2 linked regions of the Sus scrofa genome follow. Each later gene encodes a partner of the first gene's protein in a complex. Links are inferred from orthologs where the notes say so. Each region holds a gene or a part of one and is shown in the gene's direction. Other genes may lie near its edges. The genes, in order: GBA and SCARB2.

Region 1 (3,448 bases):
CCTTTCTGGCCATGATCACTCATACCCTTTCCCTTGCCAGGTTCCTGGATGCCTATGCTGAGCACAATTTACACTTCTGGGCAGTGACAGCCGAGAACGAGCCTTCTGCAGGGCTCTTTACTGGGTACCCCTTCCAGTGCCTGGGCTTCACCCCCGAACACCAGCGAGACTTCATTGCCCGTGACCTGGGTCCCACCCTGGCCAATAGTACACACCGCAATGTCCGTCTGCTCATGCTGGATGACCAGCGCTTGCTGCTGCCCCACTGGGCCCAGGTGGTAAGGCCCAAGACCTCCACGGTACCCTTGCGACCCCCAAATCCAGCATCCAGATGACGGGCTCCCAGCCAGAGTGCCTACCCTGCCCCAACTTTTTTTTTTTTTTTCTTTTTAGGGCCACACTCGCAGCATATGGAGGTTCCCAGGCTAGGGGTCCAGTTGGAGCTACAGCTGCCAGTCTATACCACAGCCACAGCAATGCCAGATCCGAGCCACGTCTGCAACCTACACCACAGCTCACGGCAACGCCAGATCCTTAACCCCTGAGTTAGACCAGGGATCGAACCCATAACTTCATGCTTCCTAGTTGGATTTGTTTCCACTGCACCACGATGGGAACTACCCCTGCCTCAACTCTTGAATCCTAGAGCACCCTGGCCAGCCAGGTGCTGGGGGTGGTGAGGACCCCCTTCCGGCTCTCCAGGGCCCCATGGTTGTCAAACCCCCTCTGGTTGGGTTCATCCCACTGCCTACTTCTCAGGTCCTAGGGCCTCTTCCGGAACCATTTGTGCAGGGCCCAGGATCAATGGCTTTCTCTCTCCAGCAGTCCTTCTCTCTCCCCATACAGGTGCTGGCGGACCCAGAGGCGGCTAAGTACGTTCATGGCATTGCTGTACACTGGTACCTGGACTTTCTGGCTCCAGCAAAAGCCACCCTGGGGGAGACACACCGCCTGTTCCCCAACACCATGCTTTTTGCCTCAGAGGCCTGTGTGGGTTCCAAGTTCTGGGAGCAGAGCGTACGGCTGGGCTCCTGGGATCGAGGGGTGCAGTATAGCCACAGCATCATCACGGTATGCCACCTGCGTCCCTTTGTGCAGAGCAGACCCTCTCAGGCCCCTCACTGATCTCAGCAAAGGTTGACGGGAGGCCCTCCTCTCCAGCTTTTCCCCAGCTGCCTTACTCTTTGGGGCAAATTCTGGGATATCACGACCTGCTCGCTTGCCTTCCCGTCCCCCATCTGCACACCCCGTCACCCTTGTTCAATCCACCCGATTTCTCAGCTCCTCTTGGGATCGCCTTATCCTCCCAAACCCTCCCTCCTTAGACATTAAGGATACAAAACACCCCCCTCACAGGGCTGAGGCGCCAGAGTCGGTCTCCCTCATGTGCCCCTAACTCAATGCCCTGAGGACCCCATGTGGACTGCCCTGTTCCTACCCTAGAACCTCCTCTACCACGTGGTTGGCTGGACTGACTGGAACCTCGCCCTGAACCCCGAAGGGGGACCCAACTGGGTGCGCAACTTTGTCGACAGCCCCATCATCGTAGACATCTCCAAGGACACATTCTACAAACAGCCCATGTTTTACCACCTTGGCCACTTCAGGTGAGTGGAGGGGTTGGGCCCCAGCCTAGCCTTTCCTGCCCTGGGCTTGTATCGCCCCACATGAGGGAGCAGGAAGGTGTTTAGGGTGGGATCCCTGGGGCAGGTACACCTCTCCCTTTTGCACCATCGAGGCAGGAAGTGACCAGCTGGGAGGAGAGACACAGACAACCCCAGAATGCCCAGTGCTGGGGCTGGGAGGTGGGAGGGTAGGGCATGCCCAGCCGTCTGGCTTGGGGCCTGGAGAGTTAGGGCAGATCTTTGGCAGGGTTCTGTGGCGGTAGGGAGGATGACTTTCTTAGGGCCAGGGGGTCTAGGATGGGGTCCCTGACCATGCCTGTTTGCGTTTCAGCAAGTTCATTCCTGAGGGCTCCCAGAGAGTGGGGCTGGCTGCCAGTGAGAAGAACAACTTGGACACGGTGGCACTGCTGCGCCCCGATGGCTCGGCCGTTGTGGTCGTGCTAAACCGGTGAGAGCAGCAGGGCCTGGGAACTGGGCTGAAGCCGGGACGGGGGCCTTGGCGGGCTGCTCACCTACTCAGCTTCTCCTCCCTCCCCTCCCCAGCTCCTCGAAGGATGTGCCTCTCACCATCAAGGATCCGGCTCTGGGCTTCCTGGAAACGATCTCACCCGGCTACTCCATTCACACCTACCTGTGGCATCGCAAGTGATGGAGCAGATACCGAAGCAGGCGCCTGGGCCCGGCATGGACATTAAAGAGACAGAGTCAGCTCACATGCTGTCTGTGGCTGTAGAGGGTACAGCAGGGCCGAAGGGATCTTAGGTGACGTAAGCCTGGAGGCCGTGGTTTGGGTGACTCACTCTCCCCTCTAGTTGCTGCCAGGGGCTAGAGGCCCCTAGGGAAGGGATCAGGAAGCCCCGGTGGTCCCCCACCCCCATGCCTGTGTGAGCGTGTGCTATGCGCTGGTTGCCTGTGGAAACTGGGCCCAGGCCCAGGGTGGTGAGCTCACTGTCTGCACAAACACGGGGGGTGGGGGGTGGGGGGAGAGGTTAAGGAAAGGAAGAGACTAGGAAAGCCGGACCCAAAACTGGGAACTGTTTGTCTTTCTTGAAGATGTAGAACCAGGCCCATACAGATGTCAGCACTAGGGCACAGGCAGCGAGAGAAGCCAAGCACCCGTGGGTAGACTCAAGCACCCAGGTGACCCCCTGCTTCGTACCAGCTAGGAAAAATGACCGCCTCTTGAAGGAGAGAATGTTTGATCCCCGTCATTGTGAGCAGGTTTATTCTGGGGGTGGCACCACATTTCCAGCCATACCAACAACGGGGAAACAGAGGGGCCCCTGGAATGCATGACAGTAAAAAAATCAGTCCTGGGAGCATATACGTCATTCTTCTTCATCCTCCTCAGCCATGCCCAGGGCCCGTGTGCTTGGGGCCCGGGCAGGAGGTGCCCGCTGAATGGAGACAATGCCACTGAGCAAGGCGTAGCCCGCCATGGCTGCCAGCCCCGCCAACACGGATAGGATCTGGTTCCGGCGCCGGTATGGCTCCTCCTCAGTCTCTGAGCTCGCTGGTGTCTGGCGTGGACGTGGCACCTCAGCTGAGGGGCAAGGAAGGAAGGTGGGCAGGGGAGCTAGTTCCTGGATCCCTGCCCCCCTCTCCCAGGGCTGGCGACCCCCACCCACCCATCCGCCCCTTACCTCCCTCCCAGGGGAAGTAGAGGCTGAGGATATGGGTGCAGTAGGCACAGAGGTTGTGCAGCCCCCGGAGGTGGGCCTGCAGCTTCCCACTGGGCAGCTTCGCCTGCTGCAGCAGGGCCAAGTAGCTGAAGACAAAGGCGTCCAGGGAGGCGGGGCTGAGGAGAAGCGGGAGAGATGGAG
Region 2 (4,234 bases), on another chromosome or scaffold:
CTAAAATCTATCTGCTGTTGCTCATCCCAGCTTGGGACAGAGGCCAGTTTCCTGGGGCTGCTCCCAGTCATGACTAAGAAGCTGCTCCTGGAGGGTGCTGGATTCCTGGACCAGGCCATTTTGGCTTGAGGACACCCCCCCACCCCACACCACCCCCATAGGCCTTGCTGAACTTTCTTAGAGCTGCGCTGGGTACTTCGTCCTGTCCAGCCTTCCTTCCTTCCTTGCCGCGCTCCTGCACAGAAGCCACACCTGCGTGTCCTTCAAACGGTGCTCCTGTCACCCCTGCTCCTCTCTAACGCTGCTGGGATCAACAGCCCCAAGGCTGCTGCGGGTATTAAGTAGGTATGTGTTGGCGCCTAGCCAAGGACTGCCATATAGTTGCCATATAGTTGCCATATAGTTGGGTTCCCTCAACTAATGTTTATGGAGTCCCCGCTGCGCGCGGACTTTTAGTCTCGGTGCCTGGGACGTAGTATCGGTGAACCAGGCAGGTGAGAACCTCCGGGCCTCCTGCTTAGGCTTCTTGCGGATCCCCTCCCTGCGGTAAGATAAAGCCGCAATTCTTCTACGGGACACGGGAGCGCTTCCAAGTCTGACCCCAAGGGGGCCTCCACACCTCCCACCCCAACCTGCACACCTGAGCCTGCGGGCAAAGGAAGTTCCTTCTTTTCTCTGACCATCTTGCTCTCTCACCCCCAAGGTCGTACAGCTGTTTCTTCTCCAAATGCTGCCTCCCTCCTCGCACACACCCCTCACGTGACAAACCCTTACCCATCCCCCAAGTCCCAGTTCTGTTGTGGGGTCCTTGGTCACCCAGGCAGAGATGCTTGCGGGCACAGATCTCAGCAGGCACCCCATAAAAGCACTTGTTACACTGCGCTTTTGCTGCTGTAACAGTGTCTCCGTTAACTTGTGAGCTCGTCTAGAGCAGCGGCAGTGTCCTATCCAGGCTGAATCTGCCGGCGCGGCCCTTTGTAGGCCCGCAGCTCCGGACCGAGGAGCGGGGACAGCCCGGGAGGATACGCGGTTTTCCCGGGTGACCGCGGGGGCCTGCGGCGAGGGGGCGGGGGCGCGGCTGGCGCTGCGGGGACCGGCCGGGGTCGATCCGGCCGAATCGCAGCTGCTGCCGCGGGGCACATGACTGCGGGCTCAGCCCCCGCCCCGCCCCGCCCGCTTCCCGGCGCAGCTGCCCGCTGTCTCCTCCCGGGGCTGCGGCGAGCCGGGCCGGCCAGCGTCCCCACCCTGCGCGCTCCCTCCCCACCGCCGCTGCCGGGGCGGGGGAAAGCGAAACCAAAGCGACCCTTCCACTCCGCGCCGGCAGGCCGGGTGCATCGAGGCCGCGATCGTCCAGCCGCGGAGCGGGGAGCGGCGAGCACCCGCCCGAGGGTCCCGGGTCTTCCGGCTGCTTACTGCGGCTGCGGGGGCGGCGGCGGTGCTCCTCCCTCCTTTCCCCTCCCGCCACCCGCCCCCCGGCCGGTGAGCGGTGCGCAGGATGGGCAGGTGCTGCTTCTACGCGGTGGGGACGCTGTCCCTGCTCCTGCTGGTGACCAGCGTCACGCTGCTGGTGGCCAGAGTCTTCCAGAAGGCCGTGGACCAGGCGATCGAGAAGGTGAGGCGTGTGTGTGTGTGTGTGTGTGTGTGAGAGAGAGAGAGAGAGAAGGCGCTTGAGTGCTGGGGGCACACTTCCACCCCACTCCCCACTGCTGAACCTTGTCCAGGGAGGATCTGTGCCCGGGCAAACCCTCTGGACCAGAGCCCTTTTTTCGCCCTCGCCTTCTCGGGGTGGGCTGGAAAGGGTTAAAGAAGGATGGCGAGGAATGGCACTGACCGTGTTCCTTTTAGAATAATAAGACTCTGGATCTCGACTTTTTAAAAGGCTAGCCCTTATATTCCACCATTTGCATTCCCCCACCCCCACCCCAGGCCCTCCCTTTGCCCCATCACTGTTGGGCCCAAGCTCGTTTCCCTCCGACTTCATGAAGAAATAAAACTAAATGAAAGACACCACAGCTGGAACAGGTTTTTGGCTGCTTGCTGAGGCCTCTGAAGTGGTGTGGGGCTGAGGAGGAAAAGCGGGTGTGTGGTCTATTGTGTTCTTGCCTTCCTGGGCTGGGCCTCGCATTGGGTAGCCAGGCCAGGCCTCTGGGGTGGGTGACATTTCAGTGCTCACCCACAGACTTAGCCGGTTCGGTCAGAACCAACATCCTCCGTTGCTTTGTCTCACTCATGGTTCTTCCTCTTCAACAGCGGTAAACCTCAGGCAAAGATGCATTTCGATTCATAACAGAATCTGAGCCAGTCCCGTCCACCTAGGTAGGTGGGCTGGAGAGCTCGTCATTTCAGATTTCTCCATCCTATGGCTTCCCCAGGAGTCATTTCTTCTGCCCTGTCACCCACATCCACCAATCTGTGTGGAAAGATGAAAAAGAGAGTTACTGAGACACTTTTTCCTAAAACAAAAGGGAAAGAAAGAAAAAGATTGGAGCAGCCTTTCTCCTTAGCACCCATAACTTCATGCCTCGTTTCTCCTGCTGGTTAACTCTTGCTCCTGGCCGGATAAAAAAGCCCAGGCTACCTCCGGATTTGATCACTGCATTCCCAGTTAGCAAGATTGTTTCATTCTAGGTGGCAACAGGCATATTTCTTTAATACAGGTTTCTTTTTTTCTTTTTGCTTTTTTCTAGGGCCAATCCCTGGGCATATGGAGGTTCCCAGGCTAGGGGTCTAATCAGAGATGTACCTGCCAACCTAGGCCACAGCAACTCCAGATCCAAGCCACGTCTGCGACCTACACCACAGCTCACGGCAGCACCAGATCCTTAACCCACTGAGCAAGGCCAGGGATCGAACCTGCAATCTCATGGTTCCTAGTCGGATTCGTTAACCACTGAGCCACACCGGGAACTCCTACTAGAGGCTTCTAGAACCCATCAGTTAGGAGTTCCCATTGTGGCTCAGTGGTTAATGAACCCCGGACTAGTATCCATGGGGACTTGGGTTCCATCCCTGGCCTTGCCCAGCGGGTTGAGGATCTGCCATTACTGCCAGCTTGTGGTGTAGGTCAGAGGCTCAACTTGGATCCCAAGTTGCTGTGGCTGTGGTATAGGCAGGCAGCTGTAGCTCAGATTGGACTCCCAGCCTGGGAACCTCCATATGCCACAGGTGTGGCCCTAAAAAGAAAAAATAAAATAAAATAAAAAAAAGCCATCAATTACTTGAAATCTGATAGTTAAAGGCAATTTTTAAAAGATGCCATTGCAGGAGTTCCTGTTGTGGCTCAGTGGTTAACGAATCCGACTAGGAGCCATGAGGTTACGGGTTCGATCCCTGGCCTTGCTCAGTGGGTTGAGGATCTGGCATTGCCGTGAGCTGTGGTGTAGGTCAAAGATGCGGCTTGGATCCCGCATTGCTGTGGCTCTGGCATGGGCTGGTGGCTACAGCTCCGATTGGACCCCTAGCCTGGGAACCTCCATATGCCGTGGGAGCAGTCCAAGAAGTGGCAAAAAGACCAAAAAAAAAAAAAAAATGCCATTGCAAAGCATAGTTTATTTATTTATTTATTTTAAGTTCACATTGCCAAGGGGAGACAAAGCTTCTTAAAGGCCATTGTTTTCCCTGAGCACCTGTGTTCGGAGAAAAAGCTAAACCAAATTTCTCCACTCCCGGGCCCCTGCAAAGCCATGGCAAGATTGTTCAAGGATGTAACCTCTCTCCTGGGTGACTAGAGTTGAGCAATCCAATTATAGTCCATTGAATTTTCTTGCGTGGCTTTGAAAGGCTGTTTCAAGGGAGCCCGGCAGGACAGTTGATCGCCCCAGTGCCCTGGGTACTCATTACCAGCCCTCAGCCACTCTGTGGCTGTGTTCACGGGTGGGGGCAGGGAGGGGGGAGGCGCTATTAGGCAGCTTGGGTGGGGCTTGAGTGCGCGTTGATTTTTGGTGCTTTTCTCCCTGAGGCATGGACTCTGATCTGACTAATAAACCAAAGTACAGGGGAAGTGGACTTGCCGCATTCCTTGACCCTGTTAAGCAACCCTGCACAAGACGGAGTGTGCCAGGGAGAATTTCAGTGGACAGGCGAGGGGCTCTTGTGGGGCCAGAGGTCATTCATTGCTATATCATCACCATCCTGCTTTTCTGGATCACCTGTAGGGTGGTAGCATGAGAGGCGTGGGAAAGAGGAAGGACTTTGCCGGCCAATCTGTGGACATGAATCCTGACTCTACCAGCTA

What was found.
Region 2: the proteins of GBA (region 1) and SCARB2 are in contact, whole or in part, in a cryo-EM structure (PDB 9FJF), measured with the Homo sapiens proteins. The link is inferred for Sus scrofa from reciprocal best matches to the Homo sapiens genes GBA1 and SCARB2. Residues at the interface, in NP_000148.2 of Homo sapiens: Leu130, Asn131, Ala134, Ile169, Glu190, Lys194, Leu195, Pro430, Arg434, Ile445, Thr446, Asp448; in NP_005497.1 of Homo sapiens: Lys161, Ala162, Tyr163, Gln164, Lys181, Glu183, Leu187, Phe191, Arg192.

Annotation. Positions count from the first base shown.
Region 1 is NC_010446.5:94,603,743-94,607,190, forward strand, and holds the end of GBA (glucosylceramidase), read left to right. Parts: intron 1-40; coding exon 41-278; intron 279-846; coding exon 847-1,071; intron 1,072-1,443; coding exon 1,444-1,607; intron 1,608-1,956; coding exon 1,957-2,073; intron 2,074-2,168; coding exon 2,169-2,274; 3' UTR 2,275-2,947; downstream 2,948-3,448. Other genes in the region: MTX1 (metaxin-1), read right to left, coding at 2,954-3,168, 3,269-3,423. UniProt on the Homo sapiens protein: Glucosylceramidase that catalyzes, within the lysosomal compartment, the hydrolysis of glucosylceramides/GlcCers (such as beta-D-glucosyl-(1<->1')-N-acylsphing-4-enine) into free ceramides (such as N-acylsphing-4-enine) and glucose.
Region 2 is NC_010450.4:71,907,403-71,911,636, reverse strand, and holds the start of SCARB2 (lysosome membrane protein 2 precursor), read left to right. Parts: upstream 1-1,175; 5' UTR 1,176-1,495; coding exon 1,496-1,612; intron 1,613-4,234.